3 linked regions of the Cricetulus griseus genome follow. The main gene of each other region encodes a partner of the protein of the gene in region 3 in a complex. Links are inferred from orthologs where the notes say so. Each region holds a gene or a part of one and is shown on either strand. Other genes may lie near its edges.

Region 1 (9,969 bases), on a different chromosome or scaffold from region 3:
GGAGGGATAGGAAATTGCTTTTATGCTCTCTCCAGCCTTGGTCTTCCATGGTTAAGCAGATAGAGCAAATAAAATTACAAAACCACCAGCGAAATTTCAGTTTCAGAACACAGTGGATAATTTCCAAGTGTGTCTCAAATGCTTCATGGGTGGTGCTTCTGTTGTTATTGTCTTTATTTTCATTTTTGTTCATAAGGCATACCTACACTAAAGGACATTTACTTTTAGAGTCTGGTGTGTGATGGCATCCGGAAGGCAGAGGCAAGTGGATCTGTAGCAATTTGAGGCAAGTCTGGTCTCCATAGTGAGTCCCTGTCTCAAAAACAAACAAATAAACGTGTGATTCAATTAACTGGACATTCTGAATTTTATCTGACATGTCAAGATCCTGGAGACTGGAGGAGCTCCCACACTGGTATAGTCATGGCCCTTCTATCGTGACAGAGCAGCAACCATGACTGACAAAAACCCTGAAGGGACTGTTGAAGAACAAGGGAGAGACTGGGAGAAGGGAAAGGTCACAGGAGGGAGAGCCCCACAGCCCTGACTTGGCCAACCAGAGCAGAGGGAGGTGTAACTTTACTGGGGATACCTACAAAAACCTCCATCACCCAACACAGGATGTCCAGTGACTTGCACAGCCTCCCTCCAGCATAGTCTGGCATCTGGGCATCAGACTGGAAGTGGACAGCACGTGTTAATAATGACAGTATCAGGACCTCTTACACACCAGGTATGTGCTTGATATGGAGCCACACCCAGTCTCTATTTTCTATTTATAAATTCTGACCAGGAATGGGACAAGACGAACACACACACACACACACACACACACACACACACACACTCACACACACACACACACACACACACACACACACACACACACACACACACACACACCACACACACACACACACACACACACACACACAACACACACACACACACACTCACACACACACACACACACTCACACACACAGTCACACACACACACACACACCACAACACACACACACTCAGTCACACACACCACACACAGACACACACATACCACACACACACACAGAGGAAAGATTGATCAATAGATTTTAGATGATTTAACATCACAAAACACAAAACACAAGTGACAGGCAGGGAGGGAATGTCTGCAAAATATGTAATATCCAGTATATATAAGCACCGACATAGTATAGTACAGTAAAAGTATAGGAAAACAGAGCAAAGGGTAACATGGTGGCTAACTCTGTGTGTCCCTTTATGTGTTTTGCATGATGTTAAATTTAGGTCTGGGTAGACCAAATTGCCCTTTATCATTTGAGTGGGGCTCACCCAAACAGTGTAAAGCCTGAATCATTAAAAAAGATGGTCTGGGGCCGGGGGCTGGAAAGATGGCTCAGAGGTTAAGAGCACTGGCTGCTGTTCCAGAGGTCCTGAGTTTGAGTCCCAGCAACCACATGGTGGCTCACAACCATCTATAAGAGGATATGATGCCCTCTCTGGTGTGCAAATATATGTACAGAGCACTCATATAAAAAGTAAGTAAAATTTTAAATAAAAAATGGCCTGGATTTGCTTCTACCATTAGCTTTCCTGGGCCTTGAACGCCCAGTCTACTCCAAAGATTTAAGATGGGGACCGGAGATGTGGCTCAGAGGTAGAGCACTTGTCCCACATTCCCCAACCCTACAACAAACATAATAAAATTCAGAGGCTAGGGTGATGGCTCAGTGGTCAAGTCCTTGCCCTGCAAGTGTGAGGTGGAGCTGTGCACATTGAAAGCAATGATGCTGGGAGTGGAGACTGGTAGATCCCAGAGGCCCATTGGCCAGCCTGGCTGAAATGACCATCTGCTGTTTCTGTGGGTGACTGAGGACATCTCAAAATATTAGGTAGAGCCGAGCACAGTGCCACATGCCTTTAATCCCAGCACTTGTAAGGCAGACGCAGATGGATCTCTGTGAATTCGAGGCCAGCCTGATCTACAGAGGAGTTCCAGGACAGCCAGGGTTACTCATAGAAACCCTGTGTCTCAAACAACAAAAACAACAGGCCCCTCCCCCCAACCAAGGCGGACATTGAGAGACTGACTGGCAAAAAATATCATTGTCCTATGATATATGTGAGCCTACTGCTCCCTCTGGCTGTCTCTTTCTTTCGAATTGAACCCAGAACATTTCATGCTAGGTGAGAGCTCTACCGTTACTTAAGCTATAGCCCCCAGAACTTTGTTTCCCATTTTATTTTTTTGTGTGTGTATGTTCTAGTGTGTGAGCATGTAAGTCTGTGGGTAGACTTATGCTATGGCATATGTGCAGAAGTCAGAGGATGACTTCTGGGGAGTCATGTCTTTGATTTTACCATGTGAGTCACAGGGATCAAACTCAGGTTGTCAGCTTTGTTGGTAAGTGCCTTTACCTGCTGAGTTTACCAGCCCCAGCCCCCAACAATTCTTTTTTTCTTATAAGGCAGTCCTGGGGCTGGGATGGAGCTCAGTTGATAGCATTTGCCTAGCTGACACAGGCCCTAGGCTTAACCCCAGAACCACAGAAACAGCACAGTTGCCTGCACTTGCAATCTCAGAGCTTGGGAGGCAGCAGGGGCAGGGAAACAAGAAGTTCTGGGTCATACTCAGATACATATCAAGTTGGAGGCTGATCTGGAACACAGGAGACCCTGACTCAGAGAGCTGCAAGGATACTGGGGCTGTGTTAAGCAATTACAGAATTGCAGAATTACCCTAGATACTCCACGTTGGCCTCCACTTTCTGGGATTCCTGTAGCTCTAGCCCAAGAAGCCCACCAGGCTCCTCTCTATGCAAGACTCTTACTGTCCTGGATTTATTCGTAGGGCTGTCCCCATTCCCCTGAGTGGCCTACCAGTCAAGCTCTTTGCTCCTCCCAGGGGACCTATCTTCCACACCAACTCTGCCTTTCCTACAAGGCCCAGCCTTGGGCTTTCCTGGGGCCTGTCCTCTTCCTGGCAGGTCTCCAATCAGCCATTTCTGTCTGGCCCAGGCCCTTTGGCACTCAGCAGCCTGGCTTTTGTTTCTGGCTAATCTGTTCTACTGCTAAAAATCTCTATTCATGGACCATGACAATTCCTCGAAGGTAGGGGTAGCTGAAACTAGGAGGCCTCTTGCACCTCCACAGCCACCAGCCTGCTTCACCAGCCCATGCCACATACTTAGCTCATGCCCAATGCCCTTACTTTGAATGTGGCTTTTAACTCTTGCTAGACACTGTACTCCCCATCTGCTTTCCTAACCTCTTCCGGAGTGCCTCTGTCCCGCCTAACCAGCCCCTTAAAATTCCTCTAGATTCAGTTCAGCGTGATACCATCTCCTGGCTAGCTCAAAGTGGATTTACATCTATTCTTCCCCTACCTTCAGCCAATCTCCTGCCTGGTACTCGCCCTTGAACATTTATTAGATTTAGTATCCCACCCAAATCTGGGGACTGTTTATCTTTACCCTCCCAACTATCTTTCAGCTTGTTTGGAGTCCTGGCTGCCTAGCGTGAAAACAGTGAATGTACAAATGTCCCGATCCAGAAGCCGACGCTATGCTGTAAACGACCTTGAACGCGCGCCCCGCAGGCGCCTTCTTAACTGTCGGTGGCCTTAGGTACGCAAGCCCCATCTCTAGAACACCTCGCCAGGCGCCGCCAGGGCCCTGGGGGGTGGGAGGAAAGCAACCGAACAAGCAAGCGAGGCCCTGGGGGAGGCGGGCTATGGTGTCATATGATTGCCTGGTCACATGATTCCTAGACATGGGGTGTGGGGAGAGAGAGGAAAGGGAGGAGGAGTGTGGATTGAGTAGAAAAGAAACACAGCATTCCTGGAGAGTCCCGCCTCTATGTAGACAAGTAGCCAATGGAAGCCCCGGATTCCCGACCCAGGGCTAATGGAAACTGAGGTGGGCGGGCCATCGGGCAGCCAAGCCCTAGTCCGAGAGCTGACAGCCAGATGCCTCCCAGGGAGTGCGGACCCCGAAGCAGGTAGGAGGACCCGCAGCAGACATCTCCCTGGCTGCTGTCCAGAGGCCTGGCCAGGCTTGCTGTGCAACTGAGGCTGCCCCGGAGCCTCAGCTCAGAGACGAGAGAAGTCCTGCCTCTTGAAACTCCCCTCGGGGTTTCAGATGCACTAACGAGGGTTTGTCATTTGGGAGGAGTGGGAACAGTTGCTGTAGACACCCCCAACAAGAGGCTCCCCTGCCCAGCATGTCGGAAAGCTGCAGGGCTTTCTCCAGAGCAGGAAGCGCCCCACTCTTGGGCCAGCTTCATCTCTCTCGGTGCCTCCCACCTCTTGTCTCCAGGTCCCGGCACTTTCTCATTCTGGTGCCGCCAGTAGTCTTCGCGGCGACTTGCAGTGGGTGGGGATCTCCCGCCCTTGGTCCCAGAGCTCAGAGGAGTTGGGAGCAGGAGTTGGGCGTGGTGGCAGAATCCCTGGGTTGTGTCAGCCGTACTTCCTTTATGGGGGGCGAGAGAGCTAACTTCCGCCTCTCCCCGCCACTTTTCCCTGCTCCTCTGCTGGATTGGCTCACCTTTTGGGAAATTCATCTCCCCTTGACACTCCGGAGTCGGGGGTGCCACCTAGTGGAAGATCTCGAAGCTAGGGCCTTGAAAGGCTCCTCCAGTCCTCTCAGGCTATTTCAACAGAGTGGTGTAGAGGTGGCCAGAGGTCACCACTCCCTAACCCTAATGAAAGGGATTAGGTCTCCCCTACCCCATTCTAATCTGGCCAGGAGATGACCTCTGGGATATTCTTTGAGAGGGTGCTTGAAAACCTAGAGAAGGAAGGGGAGGGGGCACAATGAGGGACAGATCCTCTATGTAGCCCAGGCTGACCTCATAGTCACCCTGTAGCCTGGAATTTGTAATCCTCCCACCTTAGCCTCCCAAGTGCAGGGATCAAAAGCATGTTTGTCATGCCTATCGGAAGCTTTGAGGTCTGGATGTTGGGATTTTGCCTTCCATGGCCACCAGTATTCAGAGTTTGAGGCACAGGAAACAATTTCTGAGGCCCTCAGCAATTGATCAGTGGCAGATTTTACACCGTCCCTGTACCCACCCTTTCTTTTGTAGATTTTTTTGTTTTGCTTTTGTTTTTGAGCAGGATCTTTTTGTCCCTGGCTGTCCTGGAACTTGCTATGTAGACCAGACTGGCCTTGAACTCACAGAGATCCACCTGCCTCTGCTTCTGGATGCTAGGATTAAAGGCGTGTGCCACCACCGTCTGGCTGTACCCACCCTATTTCTATCCTGTGTAGGTCACCTGCCTGGGAAATGTTCTGCCCGCTTCCCTCTGCTTGGACCTCTGGCCTCTGGGATTTGGGGTCCATTCCCTGGCAATGTTCAGGGATGTCAGTTGACATAAGAATCCAGGTCCAATATCTGCAGTCTGTTTTCTCTGACTTGATACCTGGGCATGGATTTGAAAAGTGAAAGTAATCTGATCACTGCTTTGCATAGTTGTGCAGAGAAATACAGTAAGGAAGGGCAAAGTGGCTCCCTGGAGGGTCTTTGAATATTGCTGTTTTTGCTGCCCCAGGCAGGGGAGTGTCACTCTGGGTTGCTGGGTAGGCCAGCTGTGCTGGGGAAAGACTTATTAGGGAAGTGAGAGACTCGGTTCCTCCTGCTAAGGCAGAGGGCCAGTGAAGAAGTACACTTAACTTTGCTCTTGCAGCTGAGTTTCGATTTCTGAGTAGGGAGAAACAGGTGGTATGTTTGAGGAGTCCAAAGGAGTCCTGGTGATGCTGAGGAGGGCTGGTTATGAAATTAGCTTCAAGGCTAATCCAGCCACCATGTGCCCTTCCCCTGGGTGGGGAGGGGACAGTTGTGGGCAGGCAGTGGCTGGCCTGTGGGAAAGGCAGCCCAGACTCCCCTGGCCACTGCACTTCCGTTTTCACAACTTTCTCAACCCCTGGTTTCCCATATGATCATGTGATTGACAACTCTGTTTCCCCAAGGCCTTTGAAAAGTACATGTGGGAGTTCAGTGCCAGGCAGCGAGGTGAGGCTGGCTGTCCTCTTGTGGCCGCTGAAGTCTCCTCCCAGTTAGCCCACAGTCCCATAAATCAAAGCCACATGGCTTCCTGACTGTCATAACTCCGCGCCTCTCCAGTCGCCTATAGTGTCAGGTGTTAGGCCAAGTGTGATGACATGATGGACACTTGTGTTCATGCCAGCATTCGTGCTCACCGTGTGTGCAAGCTGGTGCAAGTGTGATGCTTACAGTGTAGGATGCTGACTCAGGCAGCTGCTTGCCTTCCTGCTCACTTGTTGAGAAGTTTCAATAAATCCAAGGCATGTCATGCCTTGGCCAGGGCATGGGGAACTGCATGGACTCAGAATAGAAGGTGGCATAAGCTTAAGATGGCTGCCAAACTTTCCTTGGCATTTGCAGGCAGACCATGTGGACCCTGGTAAGCTGGCTGGCCTTCATGGCAGGCCTGGTGGCTGGAACACAGTGTCCAGATGGTCAGTCGTGCCCTATTGTCTGCTGCCTGGACCCCGGAGGAGCCAGCTACAGCTGCTGCAACCCTATTCTGGTGAGTGTCTCACGCCCCAGCTGGCATCCTGGCCTTTTGAAGGGTTACCTTGGATTGGCCAGAAGAGGTCTGGCACAGATCCTCTGGTATATGTCATTGCTTCTTTCCAGGACACATTGCCTATGGTAATGAGCGATCGTCTAAGTGGCATCTGTCAGGTCCATGACCACTGTCCTGGAAGTTACTCGTGTCTCCTCACTGTGTCAGGGACTTCCAGTTGCTGCCCTTTCCCTAAGGTGAGGGTGCTATTGACATAGGCTGTGTGCTTAAGATTTGCGTTTACCCCTTTCCACTTTCCTAGTCCCAGACAAAAGGCTTTTCCTAGGCCCACACAGGCTTCTCTGTGTCCCACAGGGTATATCTTGTGGTGATGGCTACCACTGCTGTCCCCGGGGCTTCCACTGTAGTTCGGATGGGACAACCTGCTTCCGACATTCAGGTGCTGTGGGGCACCAGGGATGGAGGCAGGTGGGGAGGGAGAGAGGGGGGGTGGGCATGATGTGGTACCTGAAATGCCCAGGAGCCCAACTGCTTGGGTGGCTCTGATTCCTTTTCTGCTCTGAACAGAGGGGTGGTTCACAGAGTAGAAGGGGACAGACAACGATGCAGAACTCCAGGTGATGTAGGCCATGGAGAGGCCATGCTGGAGCGATTTAACACCCGCCCACTTTCCTTGGATGCCTCTGTCATCTCTCTGAAGTAGGGGCTAGCTTGTGGGAAGAGTGGCCTGGGATCCTGGGTGATCACCTAAGCCCCAGTACCAGCTATTAGACCTTCTGAAGCTGGCCCTGCAGTGCCTGTAGTGCCGATGCTGGGGGTGACCTTTGCTGACTGGATTGGTGGGATCCTGGACTCTCCTATCTGCAGATAGCCTCCTGAGGGCTGTCCAGTGCCCCGGTAGCCAATTCGAATGTCCGGAATCCTCTACCTGTTGCGTTATGCTTGATGGTTCCTGGGGGTGCTGCCCCATGCCCCAGGTACAGATGTGGGGAAATGGGGGTGACTAGCGGGTAGTAGGGGTACAGCTGGGAGTTGGGGCTGATGAAGATGGATTATGGACCATCTATCTCTTGTCAGGCCTCTTGCTGTGAAGACAAAATACATTGCTGTCCCCATGGGGCCTTCTGTGACATGATTCATACAGAATGCATTTCACCTAGGGGCACCCACCCCCTGTTAAAGAAGTTCCCTGCACAAAGGAAAAGCAGGGCAGGTGAGCAGGGGAGAAACCATCCAGCTAGCACTTGGGGTGGGGGGAAGCCACATTAACTCTTGGCTAGAAAAGAAGTTCCCCTCCATCCTGGCAGCCCCTCCCTCACATCTCATTCCTCTTTCAGTGGCTTTGCATTTTTCGGTGGTGTGCCCTGATGCCCAGACCCAGTGCCCTGATGATTCTACCTGCTGTGAGCTACCCAGTGGGAAGTATGGTTGCTGTCCAATGCCCAATGTGAGTGAAGAGCTGTGCCTGGACATATCCTTACAAGGGGGCTCTAGGAACTGGGCTGATTGCCGGGAGCCTCAAGGCTCATGCTGCCCCCTAGTGGGAGATTGGGGCAGTGTTGGTCGTCAGTCTGGCTTGCTCCCTATGCTCTCTAGCCACTGGAATTCAGGGTCCCATATTTGTCCCTACCCTAGGCCGTCTGCTGTTCCGACCATCTGCACTGCTGTCCCCAGGACACTGTGTGTGACCTGATCCAGAGTAAGTGCCTATCCAAGAAGTCCACCACGTACCTCCTGTCCAGGCTGTTTGGAAACCCAGGTACAGGGGGTAGACTATTTCATCCGCTCAGTTCTGGAACGGATGTGGGGGTGGGTGTTTGGCTGCATGGAGGGACCTGCCAGATGTATCCTGTGGATTGAGATAGCTACATACTCCATCTTCAACACCTGGTTCCAGTGCCTATTCTGAAGGAGGTGGAGTGCGACTCGGAGGTGAGCTGCCCAGATGGATACACTTGCTGCTACCTTACCATCGGGTCCTGGGGCTGCTGTCCATTTAGCAAGGTACCTGGGAGCAGTGGGTATACGCATCCAAACAGCCTGCAACTAGCTTGGCTCCAGTACTTATTGGTCTTTCTCTGCCCACCTTAGGCTGTGTGTTGTGAGGACCATATACACTGCTGCCCAGAAGGGTTTCATTGTCACACAGAGACAGGAACCTGTGAAATGGGAGGCCTCCGGGTGCCCTGGATGAAGAAGGTCAAAGCCCCCCTCAGCCTGCTAGATGCAGAAATCTTCCAGAGTGATGTCCCCTGTGATGACTTCACTGTCTGTCCTCCTGACAATACCTGCTGCAGACTCAGTTCTGGGGGCTGGGGCTGTTGTCCCATCCCAGAGGTACAAGGGTAGGGGGACAGGAGTATGGGTGTGGGGACAGCATCTTGGCCTGGGCAGGTGGGTGGCAGGTGTCCTGTTGCTTTATTTTTATGCATTCTGCCTAGTCCAGGGTGGTACCCCGGGCTGTGGTTTGCCCACTGGTGGAGGATCTATGAGCAGGAGAGGGATTTCCATAGTCCCTCCAAAGAACACTCTTCTCTGCCCACCCCTAGGCTGTCTGCTGTGCAGATCACCAGCATTGCTGCCCCAAGGGCTTCACATGTACAGCGGAGGGGTACTGTCAGGGGGGAAACAGAATGGTGGCTGTCCTGGAGAAGATACACCCTCACGAGACATTTCTGTCCCAAATTGGAGATAACAATTGTGACCAGCACACCAGCTGTCCGGTGGGGCAGACCTGCTGCCCTAGCCTAAAGGGAGACTGGGCCTGCTGCCAGTTACCCCATGTGAGTTTCCACCCACCGACCTGGGCGAAAGGAGCTGTGTTCTTGGGTTAGTATAGCACAGCAGTGTGATACCATCCCCCATTCCCAGGCTGTGTGCTGTGAAGACCGGCAGCACTGCTGCCCGACTGGGTACATCTGCAACGTGAAGGCAAGGACTTGTGAGAAGGCTGTGAATTCCATCCAGATTCCTGTCCACCTGACCTTAGGCCCTCAGGTTGGGGAAGTGGAGTGTGGGACAGGGCATTACTGCCATGATGGCCAAACCTGTTGTAGAAACAGCCAAGGAGGCTGGGCCTGCTGTCCCTACCTAGAGGTCAGTGCCATCCCTGATCCTGGGGCTGGGTGTCACCATGGGGTGGGTTCTGCCTTGTCCAGTACTAACTCTCCCTTGACCATCCAGGGCACTTGCTGTGCAGATGGCCATCACTGTTGTCCCATTGGCTTCCACTGTTCAGTCAAGGGAACCAAGTGTTTTCGAAGGAAGATCCCTCACTGGGACACATCTTTGACGAATCCAGCCCCAAGACAGCTGCTGTAAGGAGGGGCTAAAGACTAAAGAACTCCACAGCCCTGGGTTCAGAGGTTATCCATCACTCAGGCCTCCCTAAACCACCCCTTCCCCTAGAGTCACCCC
Region 2 (10,019 bases), about 120 Mb from region 3:
AAGATCATCTTCATGCATATCTCCTACTTCCCCAGCTGGGCTGTTCAGGTTATTTATAAGGCTGCAGACATTTAGCAAGGTCATTTTCCAAGAGGGAGGACTTGCTTTGCTGATCTGAAATATTGAAAAAAGATACTACAATTAAAGTCTGTTAGTAGAGTAGGAATTATGCATTGATTGTGGTCAGCCATAGTATTTTAATTTCTACTTTTGATAGAACTGTGAATGTGTGAATCATTTTTATTATCTTCTTAACTCACAGAAATTCCAATCAATGAGTATAAGGATTTTCACTCTGTTTTCAAGAATCTTGGAATCCTTTCTACTACCTGTCTTAACCAAGATTATCCAACCATTGCATGCAATTTTCTGAGTTAGTATGACATTTTAGAAGAAACAATCTTCATTTAATTTCAACAATACCTAATGCCTTACAAGTTAAAATGTTATTTCAATTTTACATTTGGAAAGTTCTATAGAGATTTTTTATTTCAGTGTTTCCTAAGATTAGTTTCTTAGAACATTGTTTCTGCCCTCAACTATTGTTAAAATAGACTTTACATTGAGATAGAATTACATCACTTTCCCCCTGCCATCCTCTCCCACATACTCTTTCTCAACTCCTTCCCATGTTTGCTACTACTCTTAAGTTTATGGCCTCATTTCTTTGGTTGTTACTGTTTAAGCACACACATTTATTTGTGTAATATATATATATATATATATTATATATATATATATTGTGTGTGTTGTGTGTGTGTGTGTGTGTGGTGTGGTGTGTGTGTGTGTAACCTGTTTAGTCTGGTTCTTTTGGTGGTGTTTATAGCAAAAACTATATACACACCTCCATAATTTTAAAAGAACATTCTATTATCAACTACATTAGCATTAAAGGAAATCGAAAAGTTTTAAAATAAAATATCCTGAGATCTTACATGTGAATGCATATGTGGGTTGGTAGGAAATAGACTAGACAAGAATATTCTCCCCACACACATTTGCACACAGAAAGTAAAGGGAGGTCAAAAAGTTGTGATAACTGACTGCATACTTTTCTTTTTGTCGAACAGTCAAAAATGTCACTGTGGCTCCTGTCAGGAAACGGAACTGGAGCAAAGGATAACAAAGGAGACACATATTTGACAATATATTTGAAGAAAGTTTTATGTCTAAATAACAAATTCTAAATATAGTCCTCATCACCTCTGTTTCATTATTACATGTAACCTAAGAGATATGGTTTACCCTCCCTATCTATGAGTCACTGAACTGAGATCAACTTATCAGATGGTGGATCTGAGGTTGTCAACAAAGTGCACATAACTAAAGTCATCTGGTGTCACCTAGCTATAAGTTTAGATCTTTTCATTGGAAACCTGTCTTTTAACAATCAATTTGATATACAGTGATTAACTAATTCTGAATCAATTAATTTCCTAGTGTAACATGGTAATGTGATATATTGTAACAGTTTTATTCCTAGGCAAAGACTGGTGATTAGAAAAGGTGTTCTCAAGCTTGCAAAATCTTGCTCAGAATATAGAACTTCGGTGAAATCATTCAATAACAATTGGATATCTTTTGCTAATGCTTTTGAAAGAATGAGAATGTGACCTCTGTTATAGGTAGTAGAGTTTATAATCACCTATGAGAAAAACGTAAATTTCTACATTCTACACTCCTGCTGTTGTACTTAAAAAGATATGGAAAGCCAAGATCAATCCTATTAACTAACTCAGTTGCCTAAGATTGAATAGAGCAGAAGTCTTGTTTTTAGGACTGGATCTCCAGGTTAATGTTTGTGTGTCTATAACTTTTTTCTATGCCATATTTCCTCCCCATGTTGCCTTCATGCCATATTTTAGAAAATACATTTTTCACAATTAACAAAAACATAAACCTTTCTATTGGACTTCACTTGTTCCATTAACCTGAGGCAAACATACCTTTCATTCTGCCAATCTAATAGTCATGGAAACAATTTAAGCATGTTTCCCTGTCTCCATAACATTATCTGTGCCTGCTTAATTAAAATTGAAACATACCAATTGACAGCCCTATAGACACTTTATCTTTCATATCAAAACCCCTGACTCCTCAGAACAGTGGTTCTCAACCTGTGGGTCACAAACCCTTTGGCAAACTTCTATCTCTAAAAATATTCACATTGTGATTCATAAAAGTAGCAGAATTAGAGTTGTCAATTACCAATGAAAATAATTTTATGGTTGGGTTTAGCACGACAAGAGGAACTATACAAAAGGATCACAACATTAGGAAGGTTGAGAACTACTGTCTTACAAGAAAAAATAAAATCTCTCAAATAAGAAATGTCTCCCAAAGGCCTTTCCAGCTTTGAGGTGGGTGACTATACCTATATTTATTAGAATAAGAAAATAATATAGTGTTTAGAGTGGGAATTCACATGTTCTTCTGGCCTGGATTAAAGGGAAGAAAAATTACCTTGGATGCATGCATGTTTGTCAATAAGTCTGCCTCTAATGCTCTCATGTCCTCTTCGGAGTCTGAATAAAATCAAAACCACACATTTACTATGTAGTCACACATCATGTCATTATATTGCAACCAATATATTTCAAATTAATTTAAATAATTAGTCTCTGAAGCTGATTGTCTTCTGCATGTAATTCCTTCAAAGCAGTATTCAGAAAGAAACACATCACAGCTTAATTTTCTGCTGACAGCTACAGTAATAAATCACTTCTAAGAAAATGAGCCATGATAATTTGCTAAGCAATGTATCCATGATTTAGAATTGTTTCATCTCTGAATCACAGTAAAACATTTAATTATATTGTCTAATGTAGACCTTAGCAAATATGCTCCCTAATTCTCATTCTTACCAGCAGTAGTTCACACATATAGAAACTATGTGTGGAATAAAGAACAAAATATGAATACAAGTTTTGTTTCTTATTTCCTGGAGAAGCCATAGGGAATTTCTCACTAGTAATTTTAGAATAAAAATGATACTGAGATTCACTTCACTACAAATGTCATTCTATAAAACAGTCTTTGAAGGAATCAGTTTCTGTTTTAAATAAGAGTTTTGGATCGTGTGCTTTCAATTTTATCATAAGCAAGTGAGGAAATGGCTTAAGCAAAGGCAGAGCTCTCCATCAACACATGGTAAGCAGTATTGAAAACAGATCCCTGAATCATTTTGGAACACATTTTCCATCATTCCTTTTATGAGCATTGTATAGAGAAGCAACATTTAGAAATATTAAACAGTTGTTGAACATTTTAATATCCATTAGCCTTTTGTGATAAATCAAGGCAGAGCTTAAAAAAAGTCTTCCACTCTACAGTCATTAAAACACAGACACCCACCTGATGCAACCCACCAATAAAGCACATGTAAGAACTAAGTCATTCCAGAGACACTTTAGTTTGGCTTATTACAAATACATGTTTGCTTGTTTTTCAAGATGAATAACAAAATTAATCATATTAATTACTGATAAAATATACACTTATCACAGAAAAATGATTTCAATTAATATAGAGTTTTTAATCAATAACCTACTTAATTCTCTAATTATAACTAATTTGATAAAGTCGTATTTATGGGAAACTGTGTTGTTCTCATAAAACATTTACAGGATTTTATGCTTACAAAATAGTGAAATCATTCTAAACAAATAACATTCCATGCTGTTAGAGTTATATTTGTACTTGTAAATCTTAGCAGGAGTTTAAACTAACATGTTAGATTCCTAGTTGTTAACTATAATATCTACAAGTATCAGGTAAGTGATTTTTATTTCATTTATCCCATAGGAATTTCCACTGTGGTGTGTTTGTTCATTTATTGTCTATTATTAATTAAAACACATTGCAATCATCAAAATATTTCACATTACTCTTTCAAATGTATCTTATTTTCAAGGAGAGTTGATACATATCTGATAATAATATATTTCTTCTCTTTAGCTGTCATATAAAAACACGTTGAAGCCAAATTTTGTCATAAATGTAAGTATATAAATTTTGTGGTTATAATCTCTGCCTACTTAACTTACATCCAGAAAAGCAACAGCTACATAAATATTACAACTCTGTAACAATGAAAGACTATAAAATGTACTTTTAGAAAGGACATGAGACATTTTGTGTTACATTAAAAATAGTATTCTGTAAATAAGGCTCACTCATTTATTTATTGATATTTATTTCCTGTGTCGGAACAAACACATAGAGTTAAAAATAATTTGAAAAGAATCACAAAGGTAAGTCACCATGTAAGAGAATGAGAAAAGATGAGAATAAATGTTTGTGAATGTGATATTTTAATATCTGCATGCTGACAAGCACTGCTTCAATTCTCCTCAATAATGACCAGCCCAATTCAAATTTTCATCTTTGTTTTATTACTCTTATCTCTTTTCTCTTTAGTGGTTATATTCCAAAGGGTAATAAATATGTTGTATTTCCTTGATACCACATTTACAGCTTTACAGATTCTTAAAAGTAAAACAAACAGTTCAGTTCTTATAATCAGAACAGGAGAGAAACGTGATATTCACAGTTTCTGTCACTAACAGGCAGTTAGAGGGAAAGAGAGAGGAGCTCCTCCTGGATCCATTAACCTGAGCAGCAGCAGCCTGCAAGAGAGAAATCACTTAGGAGAGTTGTGAAAGGTAGTTGCACTTACCTGAGCACAGACTCCAGGAGCTGAAAGCCAGAAGCACCAGGCACACTAGCTGGATGTTCACTCCTGCCATCATTTTTCAGCCTCTGACAAGCAGGTCCAGACAGTCAGAAAAACACTGAAGGAGCTCTTCTCTCCGTGCTTTCTCTTGCCTTCAGCTGGCTTTGAAAATGAGTGAACTATGAAGGATGCTCTGGCCATTCCCTATATATATATGAGCAGGAGGGTGATGTCATGACTGTACAGGATGTGCCCTGCCTTCATCTCCATCCCTCCCCTTCTCCCCCCACTCCCTCCTCCTTTTCCTTTGTCCCTCATCTCATCCCCCACCCATGAACCTTGATTGAAAGTGACGATCTTCCCTAATTGCAGCTGTTGCTCAGGATTTCTGACTCACGGAAAGAGTTGTTCAAAAAAAAAAAAAAAAAAAAGCACTGGCATATACAGCATAGTGAGCTCTCCTGGTAGCATTCTTTCTTGATTTTCTCCCATGCCCCTGCTCCAGGAGTTGTCATTTTGATATCTGATATATTCCTAGTATTTAGGCAAAAGCTCTAGGGCAAAATCAGTGACTCCTTATGCTTCGGAGACTTAAAAACTTGAATATATTTTCTGGTAACACAAACTTTAGAGAAAATGTTTTGTGGTTTCAAAACTCATAGAAAATGTACATTGCACATGCTAAAATAAGAATGGAAATAGGCACAAGTTGGAAACAATAATGAGATAACAAAACAAATCAAAGAAAGGGAAAATCAGTTTTTAAAAGGAAGAATATTAGATCCAATGAATAGTATTATTTGCCACTGAGTTGAGTGTTTATTATATGTAACTGGGGAAAGACTAAACTGCATATGTTGGACTTTAATTGAATGTTTAAAATAATAAAGACATAAACAGCTTATGTGTTATAAGGTAAACCATGCATCGCTTCCTTATTTTTCTCTCTCCTTTATTTCACCGAACTCTCCTAACTTTTTTCTGCATTCTGTCAACTGCCCCCTCTCAGTTTGATCTTCTTTTTTATTGTCAAAATGAGATTCTACATTTAGAAAGAAAAATATTCTGTGTGGTAGCTATTCACCAAAGTCAAATTTCTAAGAATTCTCAGATAATTTGTGAGTTACAATGCTATTCTTTCCTTCTCTTGGTTCTTGCAAGGGCGTATAGCTCAAATGCCTTTTGGGGGGACTAGCTTTATTCCTGCATGTTCTGAACTGGTAGGTATTATGGATATGAATATTTGAAAGCAAAGATTTCTGAAATTTGTTTAGTTTGTTCAGAACACTAACCATGTAATAATAACTAAAGGGAAAATCAAGATTGGTACTTCAGACAGTGGGTTTATACTATCCTGTATTTACTATGATACTAACGTCTCAGTCTTTGCACCAAACTTAAAGGAAGTTACTATACATTCCTATTGCCCAAAAGCTAAATAGTAGTTGTCTTTTATGGTATTTTAATTTTGATTTGTAGTTTCTGTGACACAAATATACTGAATTCAACTCTTGACAGTTTTCTCAAGGATGACTGACTGGCAAGCCTGGAGCATGCATGGATTTTTTCTACCACTGGGGGGAGCAGTGGTAGTTTAGAAGGCTTTTCATTTTCACTGGGAGCAGGGTTACTTACTTTTCTCATTATCCCAGAATAATTTCAGACTTAATGAAGACAATAAATTATATTATTTGCATAATATTTAAATTATTTTCTTTGCTTTTAAATTTTAAAACACAAAGAATAATCTTCAAAAAGGTGTTAAAATATGTGCTAGCCTTCTAATAGTGAAAGGAAAATTTGATGCTTATTCCCCCGAGTGATTTCCTAGCAAGTGGAGCTTGGGGAAGTGTTTATAAATGTATTTCTGAATAATTAAGAAAAAATAACATTTTAACTCATTTTAAGCATACCACATGAATATTCATTGTTAAAGTGAGAATTATTTTTAGTTGTATGATTCCAGAGAAATATTACAAGAATATGTATCAACCAATGTCAAATGACACAAAAATCAGAGATTATCGTAGGTAATTTTTCTGTTACAGTGTTGGTAAATGACTTTCACTGGTATTATAAAATACTCTACCCGTTCCCTTTTAGCCTAGTTTACTGGAGCTGTTGTAGAAAGACTATTAAAGAGTCTGTTTCGGCAGGAAGGTACAGGTGCCCAGTGGTTTAGGCTTGATTCCTGGGAGCCATAGCAAACAGAATGGCCAAGACAGGGCTTCTCTGAGACTCAGCTATTTCTAAACAAAATAACAGAGACCTGACAGAGAAACAAATACCCCACAAAGTGCTTTGAGACATACTGTGAGTAAAAAGACTGACAATTTGTAAATGTGGCAGAAGACCATTCAGAATAGGTGATTTGAATATATTTAAAGTAAGTAAAAAATGAAAAAAACGAACCCACAATTCCTCCATCTAAAGCTTGGGGATCATTGCAGAAGATGGGGCAGAAAGAGTGTAAGAACAGGAAAAACTGGGAGTTTGCTATGAGAGCTTGTCTCCTACAATGTCAGAAGCTACATCCTAATGTCTCACCAACATGACTGCCAAAACACGACCTGAAGCATCAAGCATCAGTAGACATACTAACATGGACAAAGGAGAGCACAGTAGGCAGCTTAATCTACTCAAAAACTACAGGCAACTAAGGAACGCTGAGAGTGGGAGGAAGTGTTCTCAATGGAAATGGATAGCAAAGTGAAACATATCATCAGAAGAGGTGCCTTATTTGATGAAAAGCTTGTAGTAAAAGCATGAACACGTGAGTTTGGATATCAGGAACCCGTGTAAAATGCTGGGAGTAGTAGTGTGCTCCTATTAATGACAGACTTGCAGGGAGGGAAGAAAAGGCTAAGGAGAACTGAAGTACTTTGGCAACCTAACTTAAGCAAATATATGCGTTTCAGGTTCTATGGCCACCACCCCAAGTCCACTGGCAGACCAAGATGCCACTACATGTTTCATTGGTAGTCTCTCTTAAAAGAATCAAATAAAGGTACCCACTGTGAGTCTCTGGCCTCCATACACATGCAGTTGCATGTATGTACAATGACACACATACATACACATGTGCACACAGATATACACACATATACCTGCAAACATACACACATTCTCATACACCTGCTCATGTCATACACACACATATCTACACATTCACCCATACACACATACTTATATATTCATACACATACACACATATACACATGCATACACACATTCACACACAAAACATATACATGGTCATACACCATGCACATATAAACACATACACACACACACACACACACACACACACACACACACACACACACGCACTGAAACTGACACAAATCATACCTTTCACACAGAATTGTAGGTATCTTTCTATGGATATATGTGAACAATTTTTATTCAACAGCAGTTTTACCTGGAATGCTGCTTCATGGAGTAATAAGCAACTTGTGCTCAGCTGTGCCACTCTTCATGAGTTGGGTTTCCAGCTCAAGGTCACAGTGTCCTGGTGATGGAAAGATCTCTACAGGAGATGACTTCTACTTTTGGATAGACATTTGTTGCACATTTATTAACCAGTTTCTCAAAATAATCAACAAAGACATCTAAGTAATTAGTAATTATAAAACAGTGATGTGTAAACTTGTCTAATTTGGAGAAGAGAGAGCCTGAAACCACTTGATGGACGGTGGCCCTACAGGTCCACACCAGCTCCTTTTGCACATTCAGAGACTCCCTCACATGACTGAACCTTCCCTAGGCTTGCTGATGCTTCTGTACTGACACACACCTGAAGATGCCTTTTCTCTATCATCTGCAGCCTGCTGTCTTCCTTCCACTGTTCTGTACTCCTTGTGATATTGTTGTTCATCTTAAAAAGACTTTCTTTTGTGATCTGATTCCATCACAACTTCCCAAGTTAGAAATCTGAGGTATTCTCATTGCCTTTTGTTTTCCCCCAGTTCTCCTAAAACTCATACTATTTATGAAAAACTGCATAATTTAGCTGGAAAGGACTATATTTCTTTTGTATTTCTTCAGTACGTTCAAGTTCACGCACCTGAGCCTAACTAAAATGCTAACTTTTAGATACTTCTCATGTTTTCTTCATGTCACATTTGTCATTCTTGTGAGCCAGAATCTCTTAGGTTTCCGTGATTCTTTTTCATCTTTCTTTTTTTTTATGTGAGCCTTTAGAGTTATTTAACCTTCTCTGCCTTCCCCAGCCATCCTTTCCCTCTGTTGCTAGGCATATCAACTCTGAGAAAAGTCACAAATGGAGATCATCCTGGAGCCATGTGTCTTTATCAGCCGAAAGTTTAGATAAACTGGCTTCAGTTTTATTTCTCTAAATGCATCTCAGGTCTTCAACTGTGGCTGTGATTCATCTGAACAAACAATAAATCAGACTCCTGTAAGCCCAATTGATCTTTTTCTGTACAATTAAAGACCATTTTCATGACATAAAGTTAGATATGTGTGTGCATACACCCACACTTATATACACTATCTTATACACTAAATGTGCATTACATAGACCTTGGAGATCTAGGTAAATGAAAAGCAAATGGTCAGCTTCCCCCTGTAAGTATAAGGTCACATTGCCCATAATCTCTACAATTTTGCAGCTCATTTTTGATGGTTCTTCCAGTTTCTGTTACTATAGCCTTGCAGAAAACTAACTGGGGAGAGTTGGTAATGGATTTGTATAACCAAAGCAAATTTTACAGCTGAAACTCTAATTGTTACCCCTGGTTTGTTTGTGATTCGCATATTATGAGTTATCACACTGAATGAAGCTGTTCCACATTGTGATAGTACAGATTTTGTTTACTTTCTTCTTTCTCACATTTAAGAAAATAAAGGCCTGGAATGTACCCCGATATATAATGCTCAGATTGATGCTCCTTGTATGGCTTTGTTCTGTAAGACCCCTCTCTAACTAAGAAGTTAAAGAAAAATTCTTTCAGAAAGCATCTCCCATGTTTTTTCCACTTCTACAAATTAGTGCAATTATCTAGAGTAAGAGGTTTTACCTGAAATAAAATCATCTCCCTTCTTATGTTATGAAGTTTTTATTTACACAGCATCTGTAATATGCTGCATGGTGACTTATTTTCGTTACTATTTATGAATAGTTTATTTGAATTATTTAAAGTGTAACTTTTCTCCATTTTCTTTTCTTTTTTTTTTTTCATATTGCCGGGATCAATAGCAATGACTTCCATGTGTATGGAGGAAAAGCAATTCAACAATGAACTACAACTCCAGGCCTTAGTAAACTCCTGTTTCTTTTTCTTTCATTTTCTGAAGACACTACTAGTGTATTTGATCCATT
Region 3 (10,112 bases):
AGAAAGAGGACAAACAAGCAAAAAAGCTCCAGTTTAGGAAAAAGAAAAAACAGACCACAGAAAACCTCATGCTTACTGCTACATAGCTATGGGATCCATGTTTGAGCTACCCAAACGAGTAGCTTTTATTAGTTAAAATTATTTATTAGTTAAAATTTTCAGGCAATAAGAGACAATAAATCAGAGGCAAGGGTCCTTCATAACTGCCTGGAAAGCATCCTATTCTCTTTTGGGAATGCTTGCATCTCACTGAAGCCAGTGGCAGAGGATCACCTCTAGATGTGAAATCCACACTATGTGCAAGATCCACCAGCAAACTGAACAGCCAAAATTTTCTTCTAGATTTGGAATCAACCAATAAACATTTGTGATCATTGCCTCTGGCCTCTTCTTCTGTGTGGATCACATAATTCTTTAAAAACATTTCTATGCTAATCCAAAACTTGAACCCCATAGATGAGAATTGAGGGACAGAGACTGAAACACAAAAAAGAAGGTAAGCTACACCACAGAGTGCTTTCTCAGCAGAGAACCACAGGCTCTGTTTTTAGTGGGTTTTTTTTTTTTTTTTTTTTTTTTTTTTGAGACTGGGCTGAGGGCAGAGAAGACGCGTTAGCCTCGATGTTTAAACAGACCCACGTGTCCAGCTTTCACTTAACAGTCTACCAATACAAAGATCTTGTCTGAATACTTTCAACCAAACTAGTTCAAAACTAATTTACTAGCCCATTTCTGAATGGAGCCACCATTAAGCAATGAAACACAGACTGCTTTGTTCTTCAAGCACCCCTGAAACCCACCTACACAGACCTGAGGCAATAAAGTGGGGTGAAAAGTGTCTACCAAATTTCCAAAAGGAGAGGTTAAAAGATGCAAAAGACGTTCTGGTTACCAAGACAGAAACTCACAAATATAGTAGCTTTTTCCTAATATTTCTGGAGCCAGCATAATCTATCTCTTTCTATGGGGGCTGCAAGTCAAATTGGATGCATTTTCTGCTTCAGCATTAGTTCCTCATTGTATAAAACGTCTGAGCCTCCTTTCTCCTGCATCCGAATGAAGCTATCATTTCCTGGATAGCAGAGATTGAGGTGGTGGGAGAGAGGACAGGATTGGAGGAGGAGGAGGAGGAGGAGGAGGAGGAGGAGGAGGAGGAGGAGGAGGAGGAGGAAAGTTCTCCCGCTGATGCCCACAAATGCCATCTGGTAATCACATAGGGTAAGAGATTACCAATGACGAAACCGAGGTGTACAGACATGGCAGTCACCCACTGGGAGACGATGCCTGCTGACAAGAGCTGCTTGCAAATGACTGAGCTCAGAAGAAGTTGTGAGCAGCCTCCCTTCGTGAGCCTGACACACAAAAAAGCAGAAGAGCGGACGGAGCAGTGTCGCTAACATTGCTATAGAAAGAGGAGTTCCTTTAGAAACGGACCAGACAGGAGCTGCTTCCAGTCACCTTCCCAGGCAGAGAGAACACAAGAACTTCTAACTAAAAATTGCAATTCATAGAGGCAAATACCGGAGCCAGCAGTGAACTTACCTATTATAACCTATTCCTTTTGAGCCATTTGTCACACCTGGCTAGCCTTTTACCTTCATGTCAACCAAAGCTGGGCCCTTCAGGAGATCAGCCTTTCCCCAGGTGAAAGAGACCTGACTCATCATAGCTGCGAATGGTTCCCCCGGGAATGCAGAGCATGTGTCATCCTAAAATCACCAGCAGGCCTGTCCGTATGGGAGAGGGCTTCTCTCCCTGAGGCCATGGCTCACTCTGCTCAACCAGGACCAAGAGGGGCAGCCTCCTGAATTCCTGTGCCTTGACCCAAAATTGAGTGGAAAGGGCCTTGTAAGAAATGAGATAAACTGGAGAGTGGAAGTGGAGAATTGGAGGATGGGGGTGGGGTAGGGTGCAGAATGAAGACAGGCTATTGCTGGGGTAAATGAGGCAGGAAGTTCTGGGACAGTTAAAGTTAAGATTTTCGGGTGTTACAAAGGTCTGGTGATCCCCAACAGTCTGGGAACGGCAGCTCTCCGAAGGCGCCAACAGACACACCAAGCCCTCTGCCGGGACTCAGCCCTGCCAGTGTGGCAAACAAACACAGGCATTCTTCTCAGGGCTGAGGCCGCACAACAGCCTCTCCACAGGGCCTGTTTGCTTAAGGAACCAGAGGCTTTGATGTCAGGGTAGAAGCTGGGAAGTTATGGGTAAAGTAGCCAGTGACAGGAGCCTAGGGAGGAGTGAGCAACGGCTCCCGGCCCTGTTAATCATAAGTTTAAGAACTTTTAAGGAAATTATCAAATGGTCTGTACACAGGAATGAGAAGCAAGGAAATTATGTCAGCCACCACTGTGACTCTGGCCAAGAAAGGCATGTCTACTGTTTCTTTAAGACAGACTTTCATGCCTACCCTCAAAGGGGTGCTTATGGGGGAATGTTTTGAAGCAACCCAACTTAGCAACCAAGATTAAGAAAATCCTCTGGGCCTGCTCAATTTCTCCCATGTACAAAGGTTATATGTGCTGTGAACATTCCAAACACATAAAGGCAACAGTCGCTTAATACTGAGGCCTGAGCAATAGAAGGGGTTAAGAGCAATAGAAGACAATTGAGGCTAAGAAAGTCCATGGATGAAGAAAGAAAGCAACACTTGTAACTGAGTGCTAAGTATCAGGGACTTTGGGTCTGCTAATGCAGAGAGTAACTTTATGCACCCTTGTTTGCTTCTCCTAAGCATGCTTGCTTAGCTCCATTTTAAAGATTAGGAACGAGATGGGTAGGCTTAAGTAACTTAGTGAAGCTAACATAATAACAGTGAGAACTCAAACGCAGGCAAGCCTGGCCCAGCGCCTGCCCCAGGGGGCTGCAGAGTCTTTCCATGGCATGCCAAACCCTCAGAACAAGATCAGGAAGTATAGGGTGGTTTTTTGTTTTGTTTTGTTTTGTTTTGTTTTGTTTTTTGTAAGATGTAAGCAGTGATCTTCGGCCTTCATTGTCTTGCCATTCTTTTTGCTGTTTCAGTAACAGCCAATATTTTTTATTTCCACTTTCTTACGAGTTTATTGTATTTATTGATAGTACTGTAACTAGGAAAAAGATGTATTTTCTCTGCTTACTTCAATCCCATAGATCACTGACTCATTATGACCCCTTTGTGAACAGCATATGCCATCAAAATAAATACAACACACTTGAAACAGACTTACAACCAAGATCTAAAAGACTATGAAAGGAAACCTAGAGAGAAACAGGGAGGCTCAGGGAAGAGAACAACTTACTGGGTTTCATGAGTTAAGAAGCCCGAGTCACAGCATAGGGTGAAAAGCCACAATATAAAGGCATACTCTTTACTTTGTAAATTTCCTAAGATGAAATGCTAGAGCTGGGAATATGGCTTAGTGGCAGAACAAGCACTTGCCTAGTATGAGCAAGGTGTGGGGTTTAATCCCCAGCAACCCCTCCCCTACCACCATGGTATAAATTATTATAAGCTATAGGAGCCAGTCTAGAGACTTGCTAAAACCTTTAGCAGTTGTGCATTGTCATGCCTTAATACCTTTGTAATTTGGCAGCCCCTCCCCGCCCAGCTCTGAGCCTTTGGGAAGCATTCACACACATTCATGATAGGATTTGAAAGAAAAAAAAAAAAAAAACCAAAAACCAAAAACCAAAAAAACCCACCAAGTTGTAAGAAATGAGAACTAAGAGCTTCTGTGTTTTTTCTGGGGGGGGGGGTTGGATCCTTTCACATTTTACAGAAAAAAAAAGACTCCAAAAAACACCTTCCCACTCCAACTGTCTGAAAATACACAATGTCTCTGACAATAAATTTAATAAATAAGTTGTTCTGTTACGCTGATGCTTTTATTTCACCCTGTTATAAAGGGTCCCCAAATACCAGATCTCTTCAGTCCAGTGTAGCGTGATGTTATTATGACATCTGAGAAAACACAGACTTGAAAAACACAAGAATTACTTCATAATTTCTGGAAGAAGTTGAGCTTTTGAGAACTACCTTGACTTCTAAGTTGAAGGCAGTTAACAAAGGTTCCACGTAAACAAACAACAATAGAAACCCAGGCATTCAAATTACAAAAAGGATAAACTCGATTAAGAATAATTATGGAAGGGTAATGACTGAGGAGGGGGGAGCCAGCCATTTTAATAGAGAAGATTGAAGAAGAAGAAAAAAAACAAACTGTAACTAAATAAAATGAAATAGAGAAAAACGCTTTGATTATGAATTCCAAAGAAGGAGGTTTCTGCATTTCTTGAACCAGGTTTCTCTGTCTCTTCCTTTGGAATCGGTTTATTATTAATGACATATTCAACCAGGGATTGTTGCAGATCTGAAGACGGGTCATGCAGCAAGAGAAGGATCTGAAATATGGGGTAAGATTGCTGGGTCTGGCTGGTGCAAGGAAGCTGCGGGCCTGGCATAATCTGCATGAAGTATCGGTGTTGTAAACTCTTTCTCAACCTACTGAGAAAGGGAAGTCTACATCATTTTTTTCATTAAATAGGAAGATTTTCCAGTATTTATTCCACTTTATCTGCGCCCAACCAGTCTCACCCTTCAGCACCTCTTAACTACCCTCATACAGCTTGCTGCTTGGGCTCATCAGTTTTTCTTGTGTCCCCTGATTGGATAATTATGTCACACTAGCAAGGATGGATCTCAAAAGAAAGCCCAAGGGGACACTGAGGTTCCAGTGACACTGAGATGGAATGTAAACAAAGACAGAACAGGTACAGAACACGAGTTACCTACTTCCCTCTCAGTGTACAATTTCTCTTTGAAAAGAGGAAAAGACAACAGAAAACACAGTGAACTGAAGATGCCTTTCCCCCATGTGTGGGTTGCAACAATTGTTAATTTTAGCAAAATAGAGGAGGAAAATGCTCTAGTTATGCTGAAACCAAGACTTTGCCAACAGTTTCTCAATGCAGTAATGTGTCAAGGTTCGGATACTTGTGCCCCAAAACAGAAACAACACAACTTGTAAAGTCTTGACCAAGAGGCTCAAGAGGAACCTCTGTAGTATGCTTTATAGTTATTAGAATTCAGGTCAGGATAGAGCGGTCCTGATCAGGGTTCAACACTAGGTTAGAGGCCAGCGTTGAAGGAATAAGACAAATCATAGACTCTCGGGTCACTCACAGAAGCCAACACCAGTCTCATCGTAGGTCCACCTACAAGGAAACATGGCACCCTGGAGCCTCTTTCCACAATGGGTCTGGAGCAAGGGAATTTAAAGAGCCTGGGGTTCGTGACAGGTTATAGAGAGAGGGGTGATAGGTTATAACCCCGACTCATATTTGGGACAGTTGGCAACTCTGTGAGACCATCCAGATGGAACTTCTGGATAATTCTGGTCTGTCCTGCAACTGCTTCTAATCTAGGTCCCAGAGGTCCTGCTCTGTTCTCTGGGCTCTGCACACAGGGTTTAGGGTTTTGGTTTTTGGTTCGGGAAGCCTCTCAAGGTCATTTTGGGTCAGGTCAGAGGGTTCTGCGCTTGCATCCTGAGAAAACATCTTGAACCATATTTTTGTTTTGTTTTGTTTTGTTTTGTTTTGTTTTGTTTTGTTTAGGAGCAGCGGAGATGTCATTTTATGGCTGGATCTCAATGTCATCTTCGTTTCCATGCGTGTTCCTTTAATATGGAAACCCAAGCCTTGACCTAACAACAACTGCTGTGGGATTTCTGGACGCCAGCCTCACCACCCCGAAAGTACCGACCCAGAAGAGGGCACACCTCTGCCTCTGGGCAGCCCAACTTCTCCCGCAATCACTCAAGGGGTAATTATGCCTCCAGCTTCCTGGTAGGTAACAGCGTTGGTGGACCCGATATTCTAGATTCGGGGTGGGGGCTGGGGGGGAAACGGGGATGACCCGGAGATTCTGACAACTTGAGAAGCCAAAGAATGCGGCGAGTGAAAGTCTCGGATTGCCTCTGCTGTGACGACACACAGCCCGGCGGGCCGCAGCTACCCCGACCCGCGCCGCCCCCGCGCCCCGCCGCCCTCCGCAGCCAGGGTTTCGAGCCAGCCTCGTAGCGTGCAGCGGGAGAGGGGCGGCCGAGGGGGACCGCGAGCCGGGAGGGGTTGGTCCCACTGTGGGGGGCTCCCGGGCCCCCGCGCGTTTACCTGGTGCGTGTTGTTGGCCAGCTTGGCGACGAAGTCCGGGAGGCGGCCGCAGCCCTGGTCCTCGGCAGGCGCCGCGCGGCGCCAACGGCCAGCGCGGGGGACGGGGCCCCCGGGCGCGGCAGCGCGCAGCCCCCAGCTCACCCCGACCGGCCCGGCCCAGCGCAGCGGAGGCGGCGCGGGCGGAGGCGGCGCGTCCAGCCGGTCCTGGCCGACGGCGGCCGGCGGCAGCAGCTGCAGGAGCAGGAGGAGGCCGAGGGGCCAGCGCGAGAGGCCGTCCGCAGCTCCCCGGGGCCGCTCCATCGCCGCCGAATGCAGACGCCGCTGACACCTGCCACCCGGCGCGCCCGCCCACCCCCGCCGGCGCTGCGCCACACCCCCGAGCCCAGTCCGGCGCTGCTTGGATACGCGCAGCCGGGCCTCTTCGCCCCCATAGGCTGGCCGCCTGTCCTTCTTCCCCGGCCCACTCCTCATTGGCTCGCGTCGCCTCCGGCTTCGGGGGTCCTGGATTCGGATGCCTAGATGCGGGACTGATTGGCTGGAACGTGGCAGGGACGGCTGAGGTCATTCCCCACCGTCGCTCGGCGTCTGCGGGCTGGGCTCCCCGAGTCGGCCGGGGGGCTTCCCCCACCTCCCGGCTCAGCCCCCGGGTTCGCGGCGCCTCCAGAGACCCTCGGGTTAGGATTGGGTCATGTTGCCTTCTCTCCCCGCCCCCTGAAATGCTCCTAAAAATTCCTTCGGTGGAAACTGCGCCTGGAAAAGTCAGGGAATCCCTGAACTACTCTCCGCTGGAAAGGGGGCTCCGACATAAACTGGTGCATCAGGGTTTTAACCCCGGCTCTCTGGCTCGCCCATTGTCTGCTGAAGGAGCCAAGAAGGTGAATGCGAAAATCCAGGGGAGGCAGATGAACATCATTACACCCGTGACTGGTGCAAGCCGCAAAAGTCTTTCCAACACGTTTGGCCTCAGCCACCTTCCTGTCTGCAGGGAGGTAGTCCAGAGGCAGAATTACTTACTGGCTTCCCTGGACTTGGAAATGTTGGTAACTTTGCCATCAGGTGTAGGTAAACGGGAAGAGAGTTGCCTAAAACCTACTTTGTATATGATCCTTTCAATACAGGCACTTTGTGATTTTAGTTAACTAAAATACCCTTAATCCTGCAGTGAGTGCCTCGTACCAGTTTCTTCTCAGAATCTGATGCCTCCTAAATTAGTACCCCACCTGCAGTAAATAAACTCTCCACTGTTTCTACGCCTCAGAAGCTGCGCACACAACTTCCAGAACATGCAGTGCTGGTAAAACCAGTTCTAAATCCTTAGCTACATCTCTTCCCAGCGTTTTAAGTTTTTCAGTAGGAACACACAAAGCCAGATAAAAAGATACAAAGTATGCCAAATGTTATTCCAGAGAGAAAGCAAACTGGAAGTTACTTTTAATTTCAAAGTAACAGTATTCCCAAGTGAGAGTTTTCCTGTAATGTACACCCAACCCCAGAGCATGTACTTCAAAGTACTGGTTTTGTTCTTTACAAACAAAACTATTCACATATTTAGGTTTTTCCCCTCCCCCCAAACCACTCTAAGAAGTGAGTTGTGAAGCTTTGAATGCTGAGCAGGACTGCAAATCAACAGAAAAAGTGATCCAGTTTCTGAGCTACCAAACAAGATGAAAAATGATGAATGTTTCTTTCCATAAATAAAAACGTCACATTATTTTTTTAAAAAGTACAGCTTATTTTTAATTCGTGCCAACTATGGATTAGATCACAAGGCAGTCAGTTCCAGTAGCATGTGATCAGTTACGGAGGGGAGAAGAGGGGCTACAAAAGGCATATTTCTTTGTTTGGGTGACAAAGATGAATGGTCTATTGTCTTACTATGGGGGAAAAGAAAGCTAACTCAACAGTGCCACCTGCTGGAGAAACTACCAGACACATCTTTTAGCTGTTGGTACAATTGTTTAGGTTTTTGTCTAGTGTGTGTGTGTGTGGGGGGGGGGTGTCTGTTTTTGAAGCCCAGGGTGGCTTCAAATCCTTGATTCTCCTTCCTCAACTTGCCAAGTTCTGGGACTTCGGGCATGTGCTACCTATCACTCCTGAATTAATCTTCACTTTTAATAGGTTGATTTTAGGTATATACTTAATAGTATGCTAGATTTCCTCAAATTGTTGACATGTAAGTTGCCCATGCACCCGATTTTTTTCTTTTTTTGCAACAAGGGGGATTAAACCCAGGATCTTACCCAAGGGCTCCACCTCTGACGTAGACTACACCAGATCTTTATCCCCAGAAGTAAATTTTACAAACATGTTAAGTTACTAAAAACTACTTTCCCCAAATTTATTTGTACCAAAAATATTAATAGTCTGTTATCACAAAGCCATTCCTTTTCGAAGTAAGGTCATTTCTTGGACACAGGTAACCTTAACATTGTATTGTGTCTCGCTAAACAATGCACATTAGTTATAGCTAGTATGGCAGTTACTGTTACTCAGTTATAAAGTGCCCACACCTGTCTTGGAAATGGGAGGAAGAGCTGCAGTGTGGGAGGTTACACTAAGTTTTTCCTTAGTTCCACCTTAGGAGCATTTGCAGCTCTTGCAGAAGACCCAGGTTTAGATCTCAGCACACACATACATGGCAGCTCACAACCACCTGTAGTTCCAGGGGATCCAACGTCCTCTTCAGGCCTTCTCATGTTCCTCACATAGACTCAGGCTCACACGCACACAAATCCACTAAATGTAAATTTCCTAGGCCGTATGGAGACCACAGATGGCATTTCCACAGTTATATTTCCAGTGCATTACTTAACATATAGCAGACCGCTTCCCAATAAATTTCTTAAATGACTAAATTGAAACAGGATTTTAAAAAGTATTATTTATTAACTGAATTTATTCATTTTACATCCAGACTACAGTTTCCCCTCCCTCCTCTTCTCCCATTCCCTCCCCCCACCTCCCCTCTGATAAAGGATTTTTTTTTTTTTTTCAAGAAAGGATTTCTCTGTGACTTTGGAGGCTGTCCTGGAACTAGCTCTTGTAGACCAGGCTGGTCTTGAACTCAGAGAGATCCACCTGCCTCTGCCTCCGGAGTGCTGGGATTAAAGGCATGGGCCACAAATGCCCAGCGAGGATTTTTAATAATATCTTCTACTACAATTTAATACAACAGTGGCCAGGGACTAAACAAATCTCACTTCATACTTTATAACAGTATCAACATCACTAGAAACCTGTGGAATGTTGATAATAAGCCTGAGTTCTCTGAGTTTTCATTGTGTGCGTACATAGGGCAAAATTTCCTCCTTCCTGTGAATTTCAGTTTTCAAATGTAAGCTACACTATGACTTTTGTATGAATTCAGATACCCAACTAGTTACTATTTAACATCAAAGCACAGCCTCTGAATGAAAGCCCAGCAAATAATAATTAAACTACCAATGAATTGCAATTTATTCTCTACCACCCTCAAATAAATACTAGTCATGCTTCAGATAGCACACATTCAAACTACCTGATACTTAAGACCTGGTTTAAAGATTTGAAATCTTTAAAAACCTAAGATCAAGTCCCAATACTTTTTTTGTTGTTAATTTAAAAGTATTTATTTATTTAGAGACAGGGTTTCTGCATATAGCCTTGGCTGTCCTGGAACTCACTCTGTAGACAAGGCTGGCCTTGAATTTACAAAAATCTACCTGCCTCTGCTTCCTAAGTGCTGGGATTAAGGCATGCACCACCACGGCCTAGCACATATGGATGCTTTGTCTGCATTTCTGTGCAACACATGTACGCCTGGTGTCTGGGGAAGCCAGAAATGGGTGTTGGAGCCCCTGTAACTGGAGTTATGGATAATTATGAGCTGCCATGTAAGTGCTGGGAACCAAACCTGGGTCCTCTGGAAGAGTGATATTAGCCACTGAGCCATCTCTCCAGCCCCTAAACCATTTAATTTTCTATGT

What was found.
Region 1: the proteins of Sort1 (region 3) and Grn are in contact, whole or in part, in a crystal structure (PDB 8T8S), measured with the Homo sapiens proteins. The link is inferred for Cricetulus griseus from reciprocal best matches to the Homo sapiens genes SORT1 and GRN. Residues at the interface, in NP_002950.3 of Homo sapiens: Leu108, Gly110, Ser111, Val112, Ser113, Leu114, Ile174, Gly175, Pro176, Lys260, Tyr304, Ser305, Phe306, Gly307, Leu308, Phe314, Ala315, Ser316, Arg325, Ile327, Phe350, Tyr351, Ser352, Ile353, Leu354, Tyr395, Thr398, Gly399, Thr402, Phe404; in NP_002078.1 of Homo sapiens: Pro578, Arg579, Trp580, Asp581, Ala582, Pro583, Arg585, Arg590, Gln591, Leu592, Leu593.
Region 2: the proteins of Sort1 (region 3) and Nts are in contact, whole or in part, in a crystal structure (PDB 4PO7), measured with the Homo sapiens proteins. The link is inferred for Cricetulus griseus from reciprocal best matches to the Homo sapiens genes SORT1 and NTS. Residues at the interface, in NP_002950.3 of Homo sapiens: Val112, Ser113, Leu114, Ser115, Trp116, Lys260, Tyr304, Ser305, Phe306, Gly307, Leu308, Phe314, Ser316, Arg325, Ile327, Phe350, Tyr351, Ser352, Ile353, Tyr395, Gly399, Thr570, Gly571, Leu572, Ala573, Trp586, Trp597; in NP_006174.1 of Homo sapiens: Leu152, Tyr153, Glu154, Asn155, Pro160, Tyr161, Ile162, Leu163.

Annotation. Positions count from the first base shown.
Region 1 is NC_048600.1:115,669,578-115,679,546, reverse strand, and holds the start of Grn (progranulin), read left to right. Parts: upstream 1-3,896; 5' UTR 3,897-3,969; coding exon 3,970-4,001; intron 4,002-6,407; coding exon 6,408-6,552; intron 6,553-6,662; coding exon 6,663-6,788; intron 6,789-6,906; coding exon 6,907-6,991; intron 6,992-7,419; coding exon 7,420-7,529; intron 7,530-7,629; coding exon 7,630-7,765; intron 7,766-7,889; coding exon 7,890-7,999; intron 8,000-8,187; coding exon 8,188-8,311; intron 8,312-8,449; coding exon 8,450-8,556; intron 8,557-8,643; coding exon 8,644-8,889; intron 8,890-9,101; coding exon 9,102-9,335; intron 9,336-9,423; coding exon 9,424-9,648; intron 9,649-9,735; coding exon 9,736-9,873; 3' UTR 9,874-9,969. UniProt on the Homo sapiens protein: Secreted protein that acts as a key regulator of lysosomal function and as a growth factor involved in inflammation, wound healing and cell proliferation. Regulates protein trafficking to lysosomes, and also the activity of lysosomal enzymes.
Region 2 is NW_023276806.1:167,738,771-167,748,789, forward strand, and holds the start of Nts (neurotensin/neuromedin N), read right to left. Parts: upstream 4,902-10,019; 5' UTR 4,752-4,901; coding exon 4,679-4,751; intron 2,526-4,678; coding exon 2,464-2,525; intron 115-2,463; coding exon 1-114. UniProt on the Homo sapiens protein: Neurotensin may play an endocrine or paracrine role in the regulation of fat metabolism. It causes contraction of smooth muscle.
Region 3 is NW_023276806.1:48,823,816-48,833,927, forward strand, and holds the start of Sort1 (sortilin), read right to left. Parts: upstream 6,478-10,112; 5' UTR 6,448-6,477; coding exon 6,148-6,447; intron 1-6,147.